Rattus norvegicus: one gene and its partners. The protein of the gene in region 3 interacts with the protein of the main gene of each other region in a biochemical or structural test. Links are inferred from orthologs where the notes say so. Each region holds a gene or a part of one and is shown on either strand. Other genes may lie near its edges.

Region 1 (7,699 bases), on a different chromosome or scaffold from region 3:
TATGACAGCCACTTGAAACTATACAGAAAAAGGCCTAGCTATGACCTTAATGGTAAAATAAAATTTTTAAATGTTGTTACAAAGATTAAATATGTATACATTTACATTTCTATTGATATCTATTTGATTTCATATGTTATGTTTCTATATTATATGATATATATTTAAACCACATATAAGCATGTATATACTTCATCTAACAGTATATTTATGAGATTATTTAAATACAAGAAAAACTCATTTTGCAATGTGAGTCAGGTAAATCATATGAGAATGACTCCATGAGAATCATAAAAATTAGCTTTTATTGGTAAAACTTACATAAGCAAAAATTCTGTAATATTTAAGGATCAAACTTACTAAGTCCTAGTTTAAGCCCCTTATCATTTAGGGCAGCTCTGTAAGTCTTAAAAGCATGGTCTAATCAATTTACCCCCTAGTGGTGAAGTGTTCCGAGTTTCTCATAGGAGCCTTCACAAGAAAGGAAGCATATACTTCTCAGACCACGATTGCATCATTCTTATTATCACAGATAAATAGATCATATTTCATTCAATCAAAAAGATATGTTTCTTTTAATTTAAGTTGAAATGCATGAAACACAGGATGTAGAACCTATATGAACATGCCCAGATCAGCAAAAAGAAAAACTCATTAAGCCAGGGTATGCTGGAAATGTATAATAGAAAACTCAAACTATTAATCATCTATACGAGAATGCCTCTCTATACTACAAAGTTATTCTGAAGCAGGATGTTTGAGCATAGCCATCGTATTTTCCAAACACAGACTACATGGACTCTTCCTTTTAGAGTTTTCTACTACTTTCTGTGTCATGATGACCCCTCCTGGTTGAGATGTTCATTAACTTAGATTCATGGAGTTACAATTTTTCTGCTTTAAGCATTTCTACGTATTAAAAACATAAGTATCATGCAGTGTTTCAAAATACAACACAAAATGCATATTTTTCATTATGTGCAAAAATAAATTTGAGAATTCCATATCATCGGTAAATTTAGGTATCACTCATTACCATCCTCACTCTGATGTTTTAGGCAACTTTTGTTTGTGTTTCAGAGTTCGTATTCATATATAATAAAACCTTATCTTAACCTAATATATTTTAATTATTTAGGTTTTGAAATAACAATTAAATGAACCCTAAAGCTCAAACACGAGAATTTTAAACATATTGACTTTGGTGTTGTTCTTCACTGAATTCTAAGCAGCAAAAGCTAAGCTCATATTTCTGAAATAACTTTTGAATCTTTGAACTATACCAATGCAATAAGGGCAAATATAAAATTCTGGATGCATAGTGAATGATTCAGATCGACCCGTTTCTACTCAGACACACAGAAAGATGAGATACAGAATTCTGGAAGCTACTGGGAAATAAGGACTCTAACAGGAAAGTACAACGTATTTTAACTTTTAGTAAGTCTGTACAAAACGTGGAAGCCAATTCCATTCCACTGTACAAGCATATTTTAAAGTGAAAATTAAAATTCCACCAACATAACTTACTAAAGGTAGCTTTACAATTTCCATTTAAGTCTATAAAATCAACACAGATAAAATAGCACATATTTTTAGATTTGTGTATATTTTGAGATAAATAAAAGTTTCAAGTTCACAAAAACTTAGTTATGTTCTTTTTTGCCACCTCTTTCTTTAAACAACGCAGAAGAATCTCATGACGTATACTTGGGAATATGTCCAAATACTACTAATCATAGCACTGGTGATGATTGTCAATCAAAACATAAAAGAAAACTATTTCATGGCTGCTCTGAATATTTTATACGGTGTAATAATTATATTAATATGGAAATACAGACAAAGGTGAACATTAATGCAGCCACAGAATCTATAAAGAGGTATGGGGTGCAAATCATGTGTGAAGCATCTAGAAACTTCTGAACTTATGTATCCTAAGTGGAGAATATTTCCCCTTGAACTCCATTCTCCTTCAACAATGGACTCACCCAATCTCACAAACAAGGCTATGCTTAGGAAAACTGTGCAAAGTGTTACAGAATCAGTCCAGCGTTTAACTCTTTCTCAGACAAAGCCAACTATACCTTTCCCCTCTTCATACACAGTATAAATTTCTAAAGCAATGCATAAAATTGGCCAGATCTTCCATTTCTTCCACCCCCCTCCTTAAAAGCACAAATTTTTGAGCAGTTACATCATTTTCTTAAAAACTTTCAGACCATCTCTTATGCCATTGCACTGGCTGTCCCAAGTCCTAGCCTGCATGAGTCATGCTCATTACTCCAAACCACAAAGGAATTAGTGCAGTGTCAGTCTCGATATTAGCCTCACTTTAAAAATACATACAATTAAGGAAGGGTTAAATGAGCATTAACTTTTTAGGAGGGCCAAAGAGATTAGTAAACGCATAGGTGCCCAAACTGCTTGAAATATGTTCCTCTTTCTTCCTCAGACCAACACAAGTAAAAGCCATCAATAAAAATCAAAAACTTATGCTAGTTTTCTGTCCTAAGTAATATGTAATCATCTCCATACTGCACTGATAAGTATCAAGAAACGGCTACTCTCATCACTCTAACCAAGCACTTGCGGAGCAATCTTCAAGACTAGAAACAACTTTCCAGAAGCATCCAGCACTATGAAAATCTCCACTGAACAAGGAGCTTCCTCGGTTTGGAGTTTCTCTGCGGCAGTGGCTACAAACAGGAAGTATCCTACACACACACACACACACACACACACACACACACACACACACACACACATGAGGGACAAGAATTGAGAATGCACCTCAGAGTTGATACCCGGGCGCCCTTACATCAATGCGGCACTGAAGTGACTCCAGTAAGGAGCCAGGAAAGCAGAGAGCTACTTACGGAAGGAGGAGGGAGCTGTCCAGGCTCTGCAGATGAAGCTGCTGAGAATCCAGAGCGAGAGCGCTGCCCTGCAGCCTGCTCTCAGAGAAATCACCATCCTTAGCCTCCGGGCCAGTGGTACTCCAAAAGCTCGCTGCAGAGATGCAGTCTGCCTCTCTGTGAGGTTCTTGAAGTGAACCGGTCTGTCCTCAGATGCGAGAGGAAGCCAAGCTCCTCCTGCTTTGCTTCCTCTCCCCTCACCCTCTCTAGGTTCCAGTTCTGGGCTGGCAGCAGCAAGGGAGGCGCAGCCTGGCTTTCCCCTCTCTGTGGGTCTGGTCTCTTGCTCTGAGAGCCAGTGAAATGCCAGGGGAAGAAATTCAAACCGAGAAGGAATAGGAGGGGTGAGAGAGAGGAGGGGACTGACACCTACCCCGCCCTCTCTTCTGGAAAAAAAAATCAAAGGACGCGTGGGGGAAATCTGGAGAGAACTCAGACCGTAGGAAAGAACCGAGAGCGATGGGTCCGGTGATGCTGCGGTTGCCACTGCGGGCGAGCGCTTGGGTGGCCACTGGGCAGCGCGACTCAGAGGGTTTTCCAGTAGGCTGTTAGCTCCCAGGCTGAGATCAAGGATGTATGGAGCTGAGGCAAGCCCCCGTACACGTTCGGCCTCAGCGTGGCGCGGCACTAAGAAGCATCGCTGGAGAGAGAGCTCAGCAGCTACCACCGCAGCCGGGAGCTGGAGACTGCTGCCTCCAGCAGCGCCTGCAGACCCGGGCGAGCCTGGCGAAGGGAAGCTTCCCCGCTTCTTCCCTTCTTGTTCCCCTCCCCTCCCCTCCCCGGCCCCTCCTCCTCCTCCTCCTCCTCCTCCTCCTCCTCCTCCTCCTCCTCCTCCTCCTCCTCCTCCTTTTCTTTTCCTACTGCACTCCTCTTGCTGTAACAACCTTTCTGCCCTGCCTTCGTTTGCTTTGGAAGCAAAGGAGAGAAGGAAGCTAGTGGCTCAGGTCCATTAACTGGAGTCGGGGCCAAGGCTGAAGAGATGCACCTCAGTCTAAGCGGGAGGCGCTGCTGTCCGCGGTGCTGAAGTTGATTTGCTGTGTAATCTAAGAACCCTGCTCCAGACCTGGCTAGTCCCTGACCCAGCAGTAGGAGGGAAAAACCTCTTGCTGGGATGCTTTCTCTTTGGCTTCTTTCCTCCCCTTCAGATAGAGATGGTACAGGCTCCCGGAGCTTAGAACTCCCAAGAACCACAATCAGGAGTCCGAAAGGCAGGTCTTCCGAGTGATCCTAACACCAAATGACAGGTCTAAACATCCTGGCTGGCTGTAGCAGAGAAAGATAGGATTGTTCAGAGGTACCTAATTCAGGTGTTTTAAATGTAATTAATTCACATTTCCATATATATATATATATATATATATATATATATATGGATGCAGACATACATATATACACATTCACCAAACACATGATGCTGAGAAAACCACACACCACAAACACAAACAACCCTAAAAGGAAAGGTAGAGTAAATATGTTGTCAAATGATAATTACTTCGGTGTGCTTAAGTGTTGAAAGTATTAATAACTAAGAAGGTCTATAGAAATGCTGCTTTCTCTAATCATTTAGATGATTTTACTAATAATTCTCAACCTTACCCCTCAGCTCCTATCTAGCCACATTCTGCACTGATTTGTTTTCCTAGCATCCAGTCCAAGAAAGTACTTGTATTATTTCCTCCCCAAAGAATCAATCCTTTCACAGCCTTTACTGACACAATTAAGAATTATAGATCTCTAAATACCTAATGATGTTTAGGGAGGTTTGAGGAGGAGTAACGCTGTCTTTCAGAGTTATGCAATAAACATACATTTGCCTTTTGTGATAAATAAATTTTTGTGATGATTTCCCCACTCTGTGAATAGAATGTGAATTTTAATGTTATGCTTATATCTTAGAGAAGTCTACTGTAAACAGAGCTATGTGTTCACTACATAATCAGTATGGTGTTAAAGGGCCTGAGTCAGCATTAATTTATCTCTCCCCCCACCCCTTATTTGATTTTAAGTTCTAGTAAGAACTACAGATTGAGTAAAGTCTGTAAAAATAAAAAAACATAGTTGACCAATGATGGAGTAGAACAATGTTATGCCACACATTTTAAGTCACTCTTCTCATCATAAAATAGGGATTTGTGCAAATTAGAAAATGTCTTTTTTCTATTTGAATTCCTCAACTCCGATATGTCAGTGAACACATTCCAGAATTCTATATACAACTCTCATCAACCAATTCCAAGAGTTTAAAGGGACAGAACATTAGAAATACATTGTCAAAGAGCACAATTTTTTACAAGAGTCAATTGTTTAAGTATGACTTTCAAGTTTAACGATTGTATTAGGTGCCACCAAGGTGGTTCTAAAGTACTTTAGGTAAATTTTTTTTTGAAAAAGGGAGCAATTGAGAGTATTATGTTTTTAGTGCTTCAATGTATCTCTTTCCAGATGTACAATAAGCAGATTTGTACCTAATATACATGTTATAATCGTGAGCAAAACAGCCTTACTAGATATTATCTACTTAATTGTTTCCTAATATAAAATAATTTTCTCTAAAATTATTCTAATCAGTTTATCATCATTTCTTTGAATGACCCAAATCAAACAAACATAAAATAACATATTCTAGTGTTTTTAAGAGGCACAGACCAAACTGTGTCGTTTTCGTGCTTTCTAACATGGGCTGATTTTATGTGTGACCAAAGAAGTTACTAAATGAATTGAGTGACGTCATGAACAACATTACACAGCTATGTTTGCTTCTCAATCTTGATTCCTAATATTAGAAGACATGCAAAATATCGAAAACAATAATACTTCAATAGTGATTTCATGGGTGCTAATGCTTTATTCTTATTTTTCACACTATTTTATTATTGAAATCATTGTAAAGTAAATTCATGTCTGTTAGTAAGAAGGTTGAAAACTCTTTTTTATTTGTCTTGTTAAGATACTGATAATATAATTGAAGGGCAGTAGATAGCTTTGCTGATGTCAATTATATATGATAACCATGTTTCAGTGACTGGAGTCTGGTCAGTGATTGTGTTTGAAAATGATTGAATATATTTGGCAAAGAACTTAAATGTCACATTAGCTGGATACAAAGTACATCAAATCTTGAGGGTTGTAAAACTCCGGGCAATGGCACACAGAGAGAATATATGGACATGGTTGAAAAAGAAGCAAGGCGAATTGCAATATTTTTGAGAAAAAAGATTAGTTCCTTTCAATCATTATGAACAAGTACTTGACAGAAACAACCTGACAGAAGAAAAATGCATTCGAGCCCAGGTTTCTAAGATGTCAGTTCGACATGATGAAGAACATCTGGTAGAAAGTTATGAATATATCTGTTAGTATGAGTGAAATCAAGAAGTTTGTTTGTCTTAGTCAGATACTGATAATGAAATTGAAACGTTGTCAATAGGCCTACTGATGTCTATTATGTAAGAAAGTATTTTGAATCCCACTAAAGTTATAGCTAAGTGGTAAAAGAGCTAAAATAATTGGACTCTAATACTATCTTTAAGCAAAAACATTTGTTGAATGGGGCACTGTACATCAGTCACCTGTCATAGAAAAATAAGCCTTGGAATATCCATAAAATACAATTTTATTTTAGAATACAGACTACCCAATTCTGTCAAGAGCATAGGCCCTAGCACCAGTACAGCCTTTCACAACTGTCTTTAGCTCCATTTTGATGACTTCTAAGGCCCCCTTTGGCCTCCAGAAGCATCTCATGTATGTGTTGCAGGTAAATATTTGGTTGTGGTACCCATTTAGAAAGGGAATACTGTCACTCATACACTACACCCTATGGAAACCTTTCCAAAAGTTTTGTTGAAGATAATAGAATATATCTAAAAGACTGAGATTCCTAATCTAGTGAGAAAGAACTAAAAGTTACACTAAAACATGGTGTATATAACATTTGTCTGGAATCTGGACTTAGCAAATCTTTCAGGCCTTGGGTGTTATATAATGTTTAGTATCATAATCAAACATTAATAGTTAGGAAGACTGACAGGGGAAAAGTACACGCTTAATATTGCTAAAATACTACTTTATTTTTGTGTTCATAAAATTGTGGAATGTCTAGTGTTATTTGGAGAAAATCTAGAAAATGATTTGCTTAGAGAAATTCACACATATTTTCTCAAATTAATGATCAATCTGATGTTTAACACAAATTAAGACATTGTAGTCAGAAAAGGATATTTAGTGCATGTAGAAGAATATACTTGCAATTAATAATCAGTCATAGGAGCTTGTTAGAGAAGCGGGTATGAAAGCAATATTAAACGTAAACTTATTACAATTAATTTTAAAATTGAAATAAAATCACAGTACTTTACCTTTTCATTTTCTCCCTCCAAACTTCCCATGGCACCTCTCTTCTATCCCATTATGCTTGACTGCCTGGTCCCTCTAAAACTGATGTCTTCTGATTCTTTGTTTTACACACACACACACACACACACACACACACACACACACACACACACACACAAATACCTCTGCCAAGTCTACTTTTGTTGTTTATGTATATATAATCTCCAGGCTGATCATTTTGTATTGGGTGAACAATGAAGGGGATGAATGAATCTTTGGGAAAGGCTAATTCTTCCTATCTGGATGTCATTAGTTACCTGCAGCTCTTTGCCTAGGGGTAAGACCCCCTTGAGATTTTCCCCATTTGGTATTAGCATTTCTATTGATATTGTCAGTATCCAAGTCTTGTTTAGGCAGACATTTCTAGGGGACATAGAGTCAGAGCAAAC
Region 2 (7,699 bases), on a different chromosome or scaffold from region 3:
AATGACCTCTAAATTATAATTTGGTCTGCCTTCAAACAAATTCTCCTCCCTCTGGCTAGTCCCTGAAAGAATCTTATCTCCCTAATCCTAACAGCTACTCAGTAGTTAGGGAAGGCTAAGATGCTCGCCTTGTAAACTAGGAGCGCTCCGGAAGGGGTGCAGTCAGCACACAGCATGGCGAAGCTGGAGTAGCCCTGGCAAGTCTTAGATAACGCAGAGGGGCAGCCTCTCGCTCAACTCCTAAGCCCCTTTCTTATCCATCAGTCCTTCATCTTAGTTTCTGCGCTCTATGCTCCTCAAGATGCTTCTCTCCCCAACACAGCACAGTGGCAAAATTTTACAATTATTTTTCATTTGTGTATAACTTCTATTGGCCCGTAAGCTCTGTGGGAGGAGGGACGGTGCCTACTTTCATGGTCACCAATGTGAGGTCATCTACAGAGTAGGTACTAGTAGTGGGTACAGTGGAAGGCTTATCGATTGACCTTCATTGCTGTGCTGTCATCCTGTGTGGAGAGGGACCGTGTGGAAGCTGGAGATATAACATGAGATGGGAGATCCAACCAACATTTATCTACATCCACATACAGCAGAGATCGTCTTTAGCCATTTGAAAGAAGCCTTGTGCGAGCGATTTACAGTTTATTTAAAGCTCCCTTTTCTGACCTCTCTTCTCTGTGCCCAGAGGTTCCTCCTACTTGCCAATCTACCTGCTCCCCAGAAAACAATGTTTCCCCTAACTGGGGTACGGTGACAGAGAGGGCATATGGAAGGCTGAGAACATGCCTCCCTTTGTCCCTGAGGCAAGGGGAACCCCACTCAGTCAGACTCAACACATGTTCCCTTCTCCTTTTCTGTCAAGCGGAAGCGGACAAGAAAAGTTGGGATGGGAGAAGGAAGGGCTTATGAGGCCCAACTCTCCCTGAGGGTCTATGGGCAGTTAATGATTGTGAGAGTGGGATGGGAGAGGCCAGAGACCTTTTCCCTCTAGGGCAGGTACCCACTGGTAGGGTACCTATGCTCCGTAAATGATCTGTCACCCATGTTTATGTAACAACTCTAGTGAAGTCCAATGGGTCTTTAGGAGACCAGGAGGAAGAAGAAGAAGAAGACATGAGAAGTGAGAATAGAAGGGGGATGAGTTGGGAAGACGAAGTGATCGGGGTAGGGAGGTGGGGACCAGAGAAGGTGATGGCAGATGTGATAAAAATGCATTATGCATGTGTATGAAAATGTTGTAGCCCACTATTAGATATAGTTGATGATATGATATTATAAACTTTTTTTTAAAAGAAAGGAACTGGAACTGGGAGAGAAGCAAGAAAATGAGAAGGGTTCCATCGGTGCTAAATGACAAGCTGGCTTTGACAAAGCGTCCTTTAAGCTCCCAGCCCTGTGTCTTCACAGTTGTTTATATAAAACCACAAAGACTGAGAACTTGGGGCTGGAGTGATGGCTAGCACTGGCTCCTTTCTAAGCGACCCGGGTTTGGTTCCCAGCACCCACATGATGACTTACAACCATCTGTACCTCCAGCTCCAGGGGACCTGATGCTCTATTTGAATTCCACAGGCAACAAGAAGCTTGCACATGGAACATATACAAATGCACTGACACACATAACATCAAACAAACAAACAAACAAATGTAGACTGGTGCCTGAGGCTTATTCTACATCTTTCCTGGCCTTTCTTATTTCTCTAAATGTCCCTCCTCTTTTCTGGTCACTCTCTAAACCTTGTGGCCAGTCACAGTCAAATGCTGAAGTAACCCAGATCCCCACTCCCAGGTCCTCTTTATTCTGACCTACTCTAGCCTGAGGGGCAACCTCACTCCAACACTAATGCAGTGCAGGAACAGTATTAGCATGAGCATTGGGCCCAATGCCATGTTTTACCAGACGTTAAAATGCAAAACCAGGGCTGGAAAAATAGCTCAGCAGTTAAAAGCACGTCCTGCTCTTGCAGAAGATCTTGGTTCGGTTCCCAGCACCCACATGTCAACTCGCCATTGCACGGAACTCTAGTTCCAGGGGATCCATGACACCAACTTCTGGCAACTTAAGGCACCAGCATTCATGATGCACATGAACTTACTCAAATTTATTTGTGTGTATTCACATACACACAAATAAAACATCTTTTAAAAATGCAAAACCCATTTTTAAGTCCTCTGTAATTCTGTACAAAAGAGGCAACAGAATATTGATAGACTGTAGGTCAAAATATAGAAACTGCTCCATTATTTTCTACCCGTTACAAAGACCTCGGGTGGGTCATTAAAACCCTTCAGCCTAGACAGAAAATTCTGAAATTAAGTGCTAGTCAAACAACAAAGTTAATGAAAGGTAAGAAAACTTAATTTAAAAGTAAGTCATATCTGCCTCTAGAATTGTGTAAACAGAGGCTAACAAAACCATGTTAGTGTTAAAAAATCTCATGGTCCTTCAAGGCTCCATTTTAGCTATAATTTACAGAGTTCTATCTACACTAAGCATGTGCTCAATCCAAGCAAATATCAAAGAATAAGGGGGCACTCTATTTTCCTTACTACTACCACTGCTCCCTAGCCAGGCTAGTTTCAAACATCCAGGTTCATGAGTGTCTCCTCTCAGTTCCTGAGGAAGAAAGGCTTTAAGTGCACGCTCCCTGACCCCAATCTACTCAAACTTACTTCATGTTGGTTTCTAACTAGAATCTAGACTCATTCTCGTATTCCCGTTATTAATCTGCAGGAGCCTCCCACAGGTGACAAAATCATAGGAGGCTGAGAGGCCTGTGAATGGTCTTCTGGTAACAGACTGGCTTCTTAGAGAAGGTAAATTGTCATAGCTATATGAGAAGGTTAGAGAGATGGGAGGAAAGTCTGGATCCTGTTCTGAGGAGCCCCCAAGTTCTAGCTTACTGGATCCCCAAGTCCCACTTTGTCAAAGAAACATCTGACCAGAACAATAAAAGAAGGAAAACAGGAAGATCCAGCTTCAGTTCTGATGTAGGTCTGTAAACACCTGTAGTGTCTCAGGTAAGCACAAGGAGGTACAGACTTTCCTTACAGCCTACACTCTGTATAAGTCACTGAGAAAGTCACTTAGGGGACAGGCATGGTGCTGCATGTCTGCAATCCTAGCACTTAGAAAAAGCTAAAGCAGGAGGGTCCCAAATTCCCAGTCAACTTTGTTAGCAAAGTGAGACTGTCCCAGGGAAACAAACATAGGAGGGGATGGTGGGTGTGGCAGCGCATGCCTATAAGTTCTAGTGCTAGTGATTGGGAGGCCAAGGCAGGATGATTTGTTTAAGTTTGAGACCAGCCTGGGCTACGAAGTGAAACCTTGTATCAATCAATCAATCAATCAATCAATCAATCAATCAACCAATCAATCATAAAACCTCCAAACAACAACAACAATAACAAAAACAAAGACTTCAGCTTGCAGGAAGTGGACGGTATCCAAAAGGTAGTATTAGACACACGTTAGAAGGCCCAGGGAGCTGACTGAGAGCACCCAAGCACTGTCATCCTAAAACCAGGCCTCTGAGATGACAAGGATCACAGAGAATAGACAGCAGCTGCAGTCACACATACCTTAGCCACACTGCAGATTATGTTTCTTTGAAACTCATGGCCACTCACACTTTAGCAAAATCTCCAGGAATATGGCCTATATTTAATTTATTCAACACCTATTATCAGTTTGCACATGCACACGCAAACACACGTGTGCACATATGCACTGTATTACTTAATACCAGTAACCCTGTGGGCAATGTATAAACGTTATTTCCAATATCTGAACTCAAAGGGTATAAGATATATACCTGGCCTCTGAGGCCAACCAAATGGGAGACTGAGGTAGGAGAATCATAACCTCAAATCCTGCCTACACTACAGAGTGAGTTCAAGTCCAGTCTGGGTAATGCAGTGAGAATCTGTCTTAGATTGAAAAGTAAAAAAGAGGGCTGAGGCTACAGCTTAGTGGTGGTGGTGGGGCTTGTACAAAGTCCTGGGTTTGGTCCCTACATGGTAGGGAAAATTTTTTATTATACAGGATTAAAAAAAATCAGTAACCCCAGGACAGACAATGCCAATTTGTCCAAAGACATATTTATAATATGGCATCCCATTTTCTGTGTACAATAAGGTACTCAGATGGCTGCAATACTATATCCTGTAGTCTTTTCTCACCCATTGAACTTCAAGGTCAGTGTGAGGAAGATACCCATCTTATGCTCTCCTAGAATCAAAATCTGAAAGAACGGGGAAATTGATCATACTAACAAGAGCATCTACATCACCAATAAGAGCCCGCCATACTATGGATTGATACTTAAATCGGAGGAGAGAATGATTTAGAGAATCATGGTTCCTAAACATGGCACTTGTAGAACGCTCCTCATGTCCTCTCTTCAATGGCCATCTCTGCTTTAGATGACTGCTCTTCCCACCAGACAAAAAACAACTTATTGGGTCTCCAGAAATGTACTTTCCTTAGAAGCTAGACATAATATTTCAAAATTCTAGTCACTGTCCTCCAATCCCCAACCCTTGAAACGGCCTTTACCTTCTACAGGGGAGGTTTTCAGTCTTGCGCAGATTTCTTGTACACTTCCATAGTGGGCACTGATCTGGGTCACTGCATCAGCTGCACGAAGCTCCATGAGCTTCCTCAGGTCCATTAAGGTGCAGCCAAACTCCCCTTCATAGCTCTCAGCTACCGAGTTGGCTGGCAAGTTATGTCCTGATGGATTCGTCATCTTGCCTTCGGTTACCAGACTCTCAACCAGAGAAGATGTAGAGTTTCCCCTCTAACTGAGCAGTGTCTCTTGCCTTCTCTTCTTCGTTTCTTCCCACTTTTTTCTTCTCTGGGAGCCCAGTTAGGGGATAAATTGACAATATCTTGTGCAATAAGTTTCAGAGTAGCAACACCAGGCCTAGAGATCCTTTCTTCTGTATTAAGTCTACTAGTGAGAGGAGGAAGAGGTTGGGGGAACTTAGTAGAAGACGGACGTAGTGTCACGATGATTGGTGTCCTCTGGGTAGAGACGGAAATGGTTGTCCAGAGTACGTAGGTTCCTAGTTTAGACTACTTGTTCATATAGAAGTGTAAACAGGATAGGCATGTTACCATGGGGGCAACCTTAGCAACAACCAGCAGTTTCGATGGTAGGGTGGCGTCAGCAGAAAGAGGAGGGCTCCCTGGATAACGATGATGGCTAGGCCTCTGGAATAGAGATGCAAAAAAAGACAAAAGGAAACAATTAGAGCAGCCATGAGGATCCAGGCTCTGCAAGTTACTCTCCAGCAGAAGGGTTTAAATGACAGTTGGTGTCTGAACGGAACTGAGAACTGAGGCCTAAGCTGAGTGTCCAGACTCATGGGAAGCCCGAGGTAGGCCTGCTGACTGGTAAGACTTTCTCCCAGAAACATTATCTTTAAGTCTTACTTCTTCTAAATCAAGCCACACAAATTAACTTAAGAAACTCGCATATAAAAAGTTATGACCTCTAATGCTCCCCCTACTTCATGGGCTGACTGATTACAGAATACATTTGTCTTCTCTTACCTGTAAGATGTGAGAAGAATCAGAAAAGGAATCTAGACCCAAGGGGGAGAAGAGTGGTGGCTTGCCTGGGTGCCATCTACTTCCAACACAGACACTTATAAACCAGGAAGACAAGCTGATTAAAGGTCTCTTAGAATGTTCAGCCTTCAGTGGTATGAAAATTTGGAAACCTACGGCACCAAATTTTGGTCTCAGAGCTAAGCCCTCCCAGAGGCTTTTCCTGGTAAGGAAAGAATGAAACAGGCTAACAGTTTATGGCACAGGGCGGATTCAGTTTTTCTATAAGGGGCAGGTAGACCTCTGAGGAAGAAAGATAGTAAGCCTGAAACCTATGAGTGTTCAAGTTTCTCCAGGGAAGGAGAGATAAGAGAGCGGTTTGTTCAGTCCATAAACAGACACTGTCCTTAGAGGGAGAGAGCACCAGGGGAACTCACATTAGCATAGTGACACATCAGAGAAAAGTAGGCATTTTTCCCTCAGCAAGATAGTTGTTACCTGGAGCACATGCTGGCTGAGGTGGGCTGGCACAACTAGGTGTATGTGGGGATGAGCGGGGGTGAAGGTGGCTTAGAGACTGAGCTGAGCCCTGTGCTCAGCTGCAGACAAGGGCTAGCTACATGTTGTACAGTACATAGGGCCTCATTCTGGTTAAATAGCAGCCCTGCAATTGGTTTATGCTGCCAGGGCCTGGTAAGGCATTTCAATTGGCTGGGTAATAAACAGATGCTTTTTTTTTTCTTCCAGAAGGTTAACCTGACTCTAGAGTCATCAGAGAAATACTTGATTCTTTTTATCAATTATTTTCTCTAGAAATCCCATCTGGCCAAAGCCCCTGCTGATTCTAACCAATCATGTTTTAGGCAGGTTCCTCTGGGATGGAGGTTATCACACGTCTCCCCCTCAGCCAGCATGCCCCATCCACCTCCCCAGTACCCAGGCTCACAATAAGTTGAGCAAGCAGGGAATCCCAAGAAGGTTCCCTGAGGCAGTAGGTCTAACTCCATCATTAAGATTATCGTAGGAGCAGGACCCACACCAGCAGTCGCAGTCCCTTCCCATTCAAATCCCATGGAAAGAAGATCAGACGATGGTACAGGAAGGGGACACACATTCACATAACTATGCCGTCACAATTGCCTAATTATTCTGCTAATTATTTTTGTTAATTTCTTCCTGTACCTAACTTACGTATGCCTTTTTGTGTGTATACATGTGCTTAGAGGACATAGGTAAACTTTGGGCTAGGGTCTCTCGTTGACTTAAAGCTCCCCATACACTAGGCTGTCCAGCCAGCGACTTCCAGAGATCCTCCTGTCTTTGCCTATCCAGAGCTGGTACCAGCACATGCCACCACCTCGCCTTTTATGTGGGCAGTGGGGACTGAACTCGGGCCTGCAGGCTTGTATGCAAGTGTTTTACCAACTAAATTCTCTCCTCAGTCTCTGTGCCTAATCTCTAAACTCGGTCACCAGGTATAATGGTGAACTCTTATGATCCCAGCACTCAGGGAGGTCAAGGCAGGAGTGTTACAAGTTTGAGGGTCAGTCAGAGGTACAAGGCAAGGCCCTGCCTCTAAAAGTAAATGTTATAGGAAGTATCTTCTAGGAAAAAAAACGTGTGTGTATGAGTATGCACAGGCTTCTGTTATTCTCAGGGATCCAGTGAGTATCTTGGAATGCATCTCCCCCACCAACTGCCAGCGGACTTTATCCTAGTTTAGTTCTCCAAGCCTCTAAGGACTGAGAGGGGCTGCAGCAGCAGGAGAACCATCTTGACCCTTAACCTTTGAGGGGGATGTTCAAGACCGTGCTGACGAGCATGAAGCTGGAAGTCAGACTTTAATTTCCTTTCTTGCTTTTTCTCTTCCTTTCCCTCCTTCCTTTTCTTTTCTTTTTTCCCTGAAACAGAGTTTCTCTGACCATCCTAGAACTCACTCTGTAGACCAGGCTGGCCCCAAACTCCAAGATCTGCCCCTGCCCCTGCCCCTGCCTCCCTAGTGCTGGGAGTAAAGGCTTTTGCTACCACTGTCTGGTACATTTTACTTTTCTTAGTTTAAATTTTTTTACATATATGGTTATTTTGCCTGCGTGGGGTGTCTGTGTAGCACGTGCACGCCTTGTAGCTAAAGAGGCTGGAAGA
Region 3 (7,599 bases):
TAAAGAATACCGACAAAGTGAATACTCATGTCTACATGCCTTCCAATTAGTAGAGTATAAAAATAATGAAATATTAGCAGATTTACCTGGCTATTTCTTTGCTTTTGTAGGTTTGAATTAATTTAGTGTCATCAGTATTTATATATCATTTAACACTATACAAATGACAAGTTAAATTAGAAAATTTCCTCTCTCATTTGGATGCTGGGGATGGAACCTAGGACCTTGCATATGCTAGGCAAATACTTTACTACAATTCCCAGCTGATTAATTGTTTTGTATTTAACTAATGTGATTTAGATTTAACTAATCTCCTGTGTGCTGGTTCGATTGTCTTACACTAGTGGAAGCAGACAGAAGAGAAGGCAAGTAAGAAGACTTGGCAGTAAGTCTGATATCTCAGCTAAGCTACCTTGTGCTGATGCTGAACACTTAGTTTCTCAAACAGTGCCACTTGAACAGAGTGGTTGCTAGTGTCTATTTACATACATGGCTTTATGTATTTCTTTCCTTTATGAAACAAACACAAAAGCCATTGTGTGGCTAGTGCACCGTGGTAATACAAAACCAAGTATACTCCTCATTGGGAATAAGTGTGCATAATGTAACTGGTGGGAAGGCAAAAAGCCCTCATTTAACTGAGCATTCCAGTTTAATCCATGTGGAAATTCACATTCACTCTGGATTATACGGCAGTTCACAAATGCTTACATTTAATTTCTGGTTAAGAAAGGAGACTGCAGAAGTCTTAAAGAACTTTTCCAAGCACATGCTGATGCATGCTGGAATGCTGCACAGAGAATGCTGCTTTCTAGATTTCCCAGAGAGAGATGGACTGAATTGCACATGGATGACTGCAGTCACTGGGCTTTTTTGGGCCAAGTGCTTGATAGTTTGGAGTTATTTCTGAAATCTTGGAAACAAAGCTAATGCTAAGCTTTAATTCCTCAGGAAAAGTCCCTTATTGAGAAGTCAATGAAATTAAGTATACCGTCACATATTTTCTTTCAGCTTAAATGATATCCTGTGAGTCTTCTGGGAATTCAAGTGCAAGAACCGATCACACTTTACTTGGTGAGCATTTCAGTTTTAACACAACAGTCAACCCCATGATTCAGTTGAACCCCAGCTTCAATACAGTCAGAGGGGAGAGCCTAGCTAATCACCTTGTGTTTTTGAGAAGTTGAGAGGGGAACACCCATATAGAATGGAAGGGGGAGGGGTTAGGGGGATGTTGGCATGGAAACCAGGAAAGGGAATAACACTTGAAATGTAGATAAGCAATACCCAATTTATTAAAGATGGAAAAAAAAAGAAAGTACAATGGGGGAAGGTGAATAGTCATAGAAACTAACCCAAGTTAGTATCCATGTTACCCATGCCCTTTCAAATCAGCTACAGAACCCTCTGTAGCACAGCCCTTCTGTGTATCTTTGTCTCTAATATTTGTCAGGGGTCCAAATCCAAGAACTAAGAGGAACTAGGAGGGACGGTTATCCTCTTAAGGACAATGTCTGTCTGTCAGAGAGGAGAGAACCCCAGGGACTCAGCGCACCCCAGCACTTATTTCTCATGGGAGGACTTAGCCTGTGGAGCTCCTTTCATCATAGAGGGGTGCCACCTCCCAACAGCACCTCTGTCCTAGAAAGTAGAGCTCTACAAACTAACTGGTAGGAGGCACGGCTTCTGAACACATCTGCAAGTTGGTCAAGGTCTTGTAGGCTACAATGTTCTGGAAAGAGAACTCTGAAGAGCAAATGTAAATGCTGTATCTGTTTAGGTCTCGGAGATGTTGGACCCCGCCTCAGAAACAGACATGCTTTTCCTACCTGCATTGTGCTTTGCCAAATATTTATCTTTGTACTGCTTCTTTTTCTTGCCAAACCAAGTACAGCTGGCCTGCTGCTCTTGTTTGGTCTTCTCCATGGCAATGCAAGCTACTCGCCTAGTACACAAAGAGAAGAAGGAAAGAATGGAAGGAAGAAAGGAAGAAAGGGGGGAAAAATCCAACAAAGTTAATCATAGTTTTATGTTGAAAAAAGAGAAAAAGTCATTTGACGGCTACACACAACAGGATGACTATCCCTCCTCAGTTCTGGACATCATGGACATAAAGAGGCTTCTTCGGCTTTCATGACAACCCTTAGGAATGGCTTAAGACTACAGGCTTATGTTAAAACTGCTGTGTTCCTTGGGTCCACATTAGCTGATATAAGGGTCAGAAGTCTTAATACATGGTTGTGAGATTCAGGGTGTTGATCAAGGGATTGTGAGTCAAGGCAGGCCTGTTTTGCAACCTGATTTGTTACGCATTAGCCTGTTTTAAGTGCTTAGTGCTTAGTATCAGGCAAGTTTCTAGGAATTTCTTATACAGCAACCCAAGCAATATTTCTGATAAACTAAACTGCATCACAAATCACACAGAAATTCTTAAAGTTTATAGTTTTGTCTTTCATATTTTATTGTGTAAGAATTTTTTTTCTTATCATGTAAAGTAGGAGTCCATTCTCTTTTGTTAAGAAGCCCTGCCTTCTACCAGTTAGTTTGGCTCTTAGAGATATTCAATTGTTCTAGCAGGCTATACTAAAAAGTAAGAGCATTCTTCACTGCTGCGCTATGCTACTAGTTACACAGAAAGGAGCTATTTAGGTTTAAAAGTGCTTTATGGTTCTGTCTCTTTAGTTGGTCTAGCTTAGCATTTCTGAACTACTATACCTTAGTGAGTTTTCATATTTGGTTGAATAAGACCTTGTTCTTTGTTCAAGAACATCCTGGCCATTCCTGAATTTGTGGGTTTCTAGGCACAAATAATTAAAGATAATTATGTATGTATGTATGTATGTATGTATGTATGTATGTATGTATGTATGTATGAGTTAAGTGTTGGGTATCCTTGTCACTCTCTACCTAGTCCTTTGAGGCAGGTTCTCTCCCTGAACCTGTTCCTCATATTTTCTTGGATAAATTGAAAATCAGCAAGTTGTAGTGATTTCCCTGTCTTCGCTTGCCTAGGAGCTGGGGTTAGAGGGAAACACCTGGCTTGCTATGTGGGTGCTGATATGAACTCGGATTCCTGACTGCATAGTTAATCCTCTTAGTTATTTTCTGAGTCATTTCTCCAACCTCTTCATGTAAACTTTAAAATTAGTCTGTCAGTTTCAAAGCTTGGAATTTTAATTGAGATTGCACTGGTACAATTAATGTGGGAAGGATAGACACCGTTACAATACTGAGTCTTACAGTCAATTAATGCAATGTTTCTCTGTCTTCTTTAAAGCCTTATTGAATTTTCTGTTGTTTTGTTTGAGCCAGCTTCTTGAATACCGAAGAGTGGCCTGAAACTCTTTATGAAGCTAAGGGTGACTTGGCTGATGCTCTTGCCTGTACCTCTAAGTGCTGGAGCTGCAAATGTGTACCATATTGCCTGATACCTTTTATTTTCTTCTTAAAAACTACATTTCATATAGCCCAGGCTGGCCTCAAAGTCACTGAAAATGAGGCTGGCTTTAAATTTATCTTCCTTTGGGATTTACAGGCATGAGTTACCACTCCCAGTTCAAAATTCCCCCTAAGGCTTTACATAGTTCTAGACAAGCATTCTATCATTGCGCTATATCCCTACCCTTGTCTCAGTAAACTAGAAACCAGTTTTATATTTTGTAGTTTCAGGAGAGTCGAATTTATTTTTCCTTTTGAGAGGGGGGTCTCTGTAGCTCATGCTGGCCTGGATCTCACTATGTTGATTAGGTTACCCTTGAACTTCTAGAAATTTTCCTTCTTTAGTGCACAATGTACAGGGATTCAGATGGGTTCTACAATACTCAGCTGATTGAATTGTTTTTTTTTTTTTTTTGGTTCTTTTTTTCGGAGCTGGGGACCGAACCCAGGGCCTTGCGCTTCCTAGGCAAGCGCTCTACCACTGAGCTAAATCCCCAACCCCTTGAATTGTTTTTTAAACTGTGCCTCTATGTCTTTAATATGTCCTATTTTCCTGTAAACAAGGAAATAATCTAGAGTCCTCCTCCTTTTTTGTTTGAGACAGGGTCTCATGTAGTCCAGGGTGGTCCTGAATTTACTATACAGGCCAGACTGGACTCAAATTCTCCTGCCTCAGTTTCCTGAGTACTGGGATTACAGGTATATGCTACCATGCTCCAGCCTCTGTTTTTCTTTTTTGATAAACTAACATTTAATGTCAATTACTTAGTATTTTTAAAATTTTTATTCTATTTAATTTTTTATTGGATAGTTTATATATTTACATTTCAAATGTTATCCCCTTTCCCAGTTTTTTTAAATCTCTGGTATACCAACTTTTGTGGTCCTAACAATGTGAGGAAGGGTTCCTCATAGATTGTCCATCTTCCTTAAGCCTGTGGTCTTACTCTTGGTTCTTTGGCATAATAGTGAATGCTTTCTTGGTAAGACGGGACACTTGGTACTCTAAGATTTTGCTTACAGCTTTGAGGAAAGGTTCTCATAGAAGAACTGGTTGTTGGGTTCCCCATCACCATTTGAGTTATTCAGCACTTTCAAGCTCATTAAAAAACAAAGCAAAATAAAACACCCTTTTAGTTTCTGCAGCATTTTTTCTTTGCAGCAGAATGATTGGTCTGAACAGTCCAGACCTCAGCAGAGACAAGAAGCAAACCTCCTTTTCCTTCTGCAGCTTCTTCAGATTTCTGCAGAGGACTAAGAGCTCATGATTTATATCACTGCTGCAACTAGAAAGAAATCTGCAATCTATGTAATTATTGTTTTTCTTCCCTTAACATTTCTTTCAGTACAGCCCCTGTAACCGAGGATGGTCTCAAACTCTCTCTATAACTAAAGATGACCCTGAACTTCTGAGCATCCAGCCTAAGCCTCCCTAGTGCTGGACTGCAGGCCTGCACCACCACACCTGCTTTACTTGGTGCTGAGAATCACACCCAGAGTTTCACCACTTGAGCTACTACATCCCCAGCCCATACATGGTTATTCTGAATAAATGCTCATGTGACTGCTCTCTAGAAGACATTTTGTGAAATGTATAATTCACAGTAGCAACATCAGAAAGACTTAGAAACTGCTTTTCTCCTGCTTATGTTAAACTGTCTGCACAAGATCAGACTGAGAGACAGTGCCAGATGGCAGGCTGTTGCTTCTCTGTTTGGGCCCCGTTTCCCCATTTGTAGCACAATGGCATCTGAAGCCTTCATCTACTTTAACACTCAAATGTAAGAATAGTTTTAGGGAACATGAGAGAGCTGAAAGGGGCAATCAAGCCAAAGAGATCAACCAAGAAAACACTTTAATAGTGAAAAGAACTGGTGAAAAAGTGGAAATATTTATAGACTCAATATTTTTGGTTACTTTTAACTAAGTTCAAGTATTTTTGTGGGGTATAGGTTAGGGAGTGGCAGAATTCCAGTTTTTGGCAGGTTAGGTTTTGTTACATAAAACAAACCCAGGTATTAAATTACTCTTTTCTTGTAGTAGATTTCTGATAGATACTGGGAACATATTTAAGAGGATAGATTATGGACATTTAATAGATGATACAGTCCTGTCTTCTTGCAATTAAAGAGGGTTTAAAATGCCTGTCTCATTTCACCCTGCTTCACAGTGTAAGCTTTCTAACAGAATAGATCCTCTTTTCCTGTCTCTGTCTCTTGTTCTGTGCATGGAGCCCAGGGTAATACTTCTATATAGCAAGCATCTACTTCTGAGCTGCCCACCCCTAAACTCCAAAAAACCAGTCTTAAAGAATGGTAAGGCCAAGAACAAAGCCTCTGATTGTGCGTTCTTCCAACAGTGGAACAGGCTGCACCTTTAAATAACTTGAGTGACATCAAATCATGGCTCTTGAAGCGTTTTCCCTGATGAGGTATGGTGGTCATAGAAGGATACAGAGTGATACAACTGAAGAAAAGACCATTGTAAAAAGATTAGAACAGTTTATGGGAGTTGAGGGCTTTGCCCAAATGATCTGAAGCCATCCACTTAGCTTGTCTTCTCCCCTTTTCCTTATACATAAAGTGTGGGTCTAACTGGAACCAGTATCTGACCATAACCTCTCCAGGTTTGAGAAGTTCTGGACGACTGACGTTTGGATTTGATCTTAGACAACTGGAACTTAAATAGTTACCAAAGAAAAGGATTTTATAATATAAAATATGAAACTGAGAACTGGAAGAGAGGGCTCAGTTTCACCATAAAGTAACAAAAACATACCATTCCTGAAGTTCAGGAGAAGGAATGAGACCTGCAGTTCCGTTTTTGGAGTTTTCCAGTTTACCCTGCCACCAGTTGTGGTCATCCTTACTAATAATCTGGATGATGTCACCAACTCGGAACCGGATGCCAGCTTCTTTGCAGGGGATGAGGTCATCCTTGGCTGGATCATATTCAAATTGTGCTCTTACATAGATCTATAAAATAGGAGTTTGTAAGAATGGAGGCCACAGCGGTGTGAAGAAAAACAGTGAATGCTATTCTAATAACCACACATCAACATTGACAACACAACAGGACATCAGATGGTGAAAGCTGAAACGATGTATGGAGATAGGACACAAGAAACATCTACCACTAGAAACAGGGTGCCATCTCTGATGCATAGAGCTTCATTTTCGCTGTTTATATTTGGAAGGAACACTTAAAATACTTGTTGAATAACTTTTGCCTTTAGCAATAAGATAGGTGCATAATTAAGCGCACCAATTTTAAAACTTGCTGTGGTCATGGTAATGGTATGGATACATTGTCATGACCATGAAGCAGCCTTTAAGGCATAGAGACTAGTACTCAGGGTAGGTTTTCATGGTAAAGTAGTGAGAACTGTGGGTTGGTAACTTGCTCTCATGACATTGGACGCCATGCTTTCATGACAACTGACAGCGTGTCTATATACTGCAGACAAAGCTATAAGTAACTCAAACAATATTAAAAAGTTCAACATACAGCTTTATTTCTTTAGAGAGATTTTGGCTTTGTATTTGTGCTTTATTTTTCTGAGAAAATAAAGGTGACTGTAAACCCTTGCTTTGACAATGTAACACTTGAAATCAGCACAGAGCATTAAGGCATGCATAGTTTAGGCTCTGAGCTTTATGGTGTATGAATTGAGGAGACACATTGGCAGACAGGGGTTATAACACACAGCAGCGTTTTATGAATGACTGGAATTCTAAGTGCTTTAAAATAAGGCACTATATATCCAAGGTTGCCCCAGTTATGAAATCCTGAGATTACACTGTGGGGGTTATTCTACTAATCAGTAACTTAAACAATTCTTAACTTAAAATCAGATTTATTATTTTTTAGCATATATTTCAAGAAAAATGATTCTATCTATTGACATTAAGCTCGAATGTCCCATTTAAGTCACCGGAAAACCAACCTGAAGGCTTTGGAACTATTATGTGATATTTTATTTTAGTAACCCAGCCCTTAAAATGAATAGCTCTCTGCATTTGTCCTAAAATGCACACTTTAAAAGTGCTGGCTGTTTGATGCTTGCTGACGCCTGACAGCACCTAGCATTTCGAACTAGCACAGGCACATCTGAGTGAAGACCAAGGTGCTGACGCTGTGTTTTTACTGTATGTAGCTTTC

The links.
Region 1: the proteins of Cask (region 3) and Cntnap2 form a complex in vitro, tested with the Homo sapiens proteins (2 studies listed by BioGRID and IntAct, with this or other methods). The link is inferred for Rattus norvegicus from reciprocal best matches to the Homo sapiens genes CASK and CNTNAP2.
Region 2: the proteins of Cask (region 3) and Atp2b4 form a complex in vitro, tested with the Homo sapiens proteins (2 studies listed by BioGRID and IntAct, with this or other methods). The link is inferred for Rattus norvegicus from reciprocal best matches to the Homo sapiens genes CASK and ATP2B4.

The regions. Positions count from the first base shown.
Region 1 is NC_086022.1:75,105,334-75,113,032, reverse strand, and holds the start of Cntnap2 (contactin associated protein 2 precursor), read right to left. Parts: upstream 3,676-7,699; 5' UTR 2,977-3,675; coding exon 2,880-2,976; intron 1-2,879. UniProt on the Homo sapiens protein: Required for gap junction formation. Required, with CNTNAP1, for radial and longitudinal organization of myelinated axons.
Region 2 is NC_086031.1:47,753,959-47,761,657, forward strand, and holds the start of Atp2b4 (plasma membrane calcium-transporting ATPase 4), read right to left. Parts: upstream 4,919-7,699; 5' UTR 4,752-4,918; coding exon 4,559-4,751; intron 1-4,558. UniProt on the Homo sapiens protein: Calcium/calmodulin-regulated and magnesium-dependent enzyme that catalyzes the hydrolysis of ATP coupled with the transport of calcium out of the cell. By regulating sperm cell calcium homeostasis, may play a role in sperm motility.
Region 3 is NC_086039.1:11,884,068-11,891,666, reverse strand, and holds part of Cask (peripheral plasma membrane protein CASK), read right to left. Parts: intron 6,414-7,599; coding exon 6,217-6,413; intron 1,946-6,216; coding exon 1,830-1,945; intron 1-1,829. UniProt on the Homo sapiens protein: Multidomain scaffolding Mg(2+)-independent protein kinase that catalyzes the phosphotransfer from ATP to proteins such as NRXN1, and plays a role in synaptic transmembrane protein anchoring and ion channel trafficking.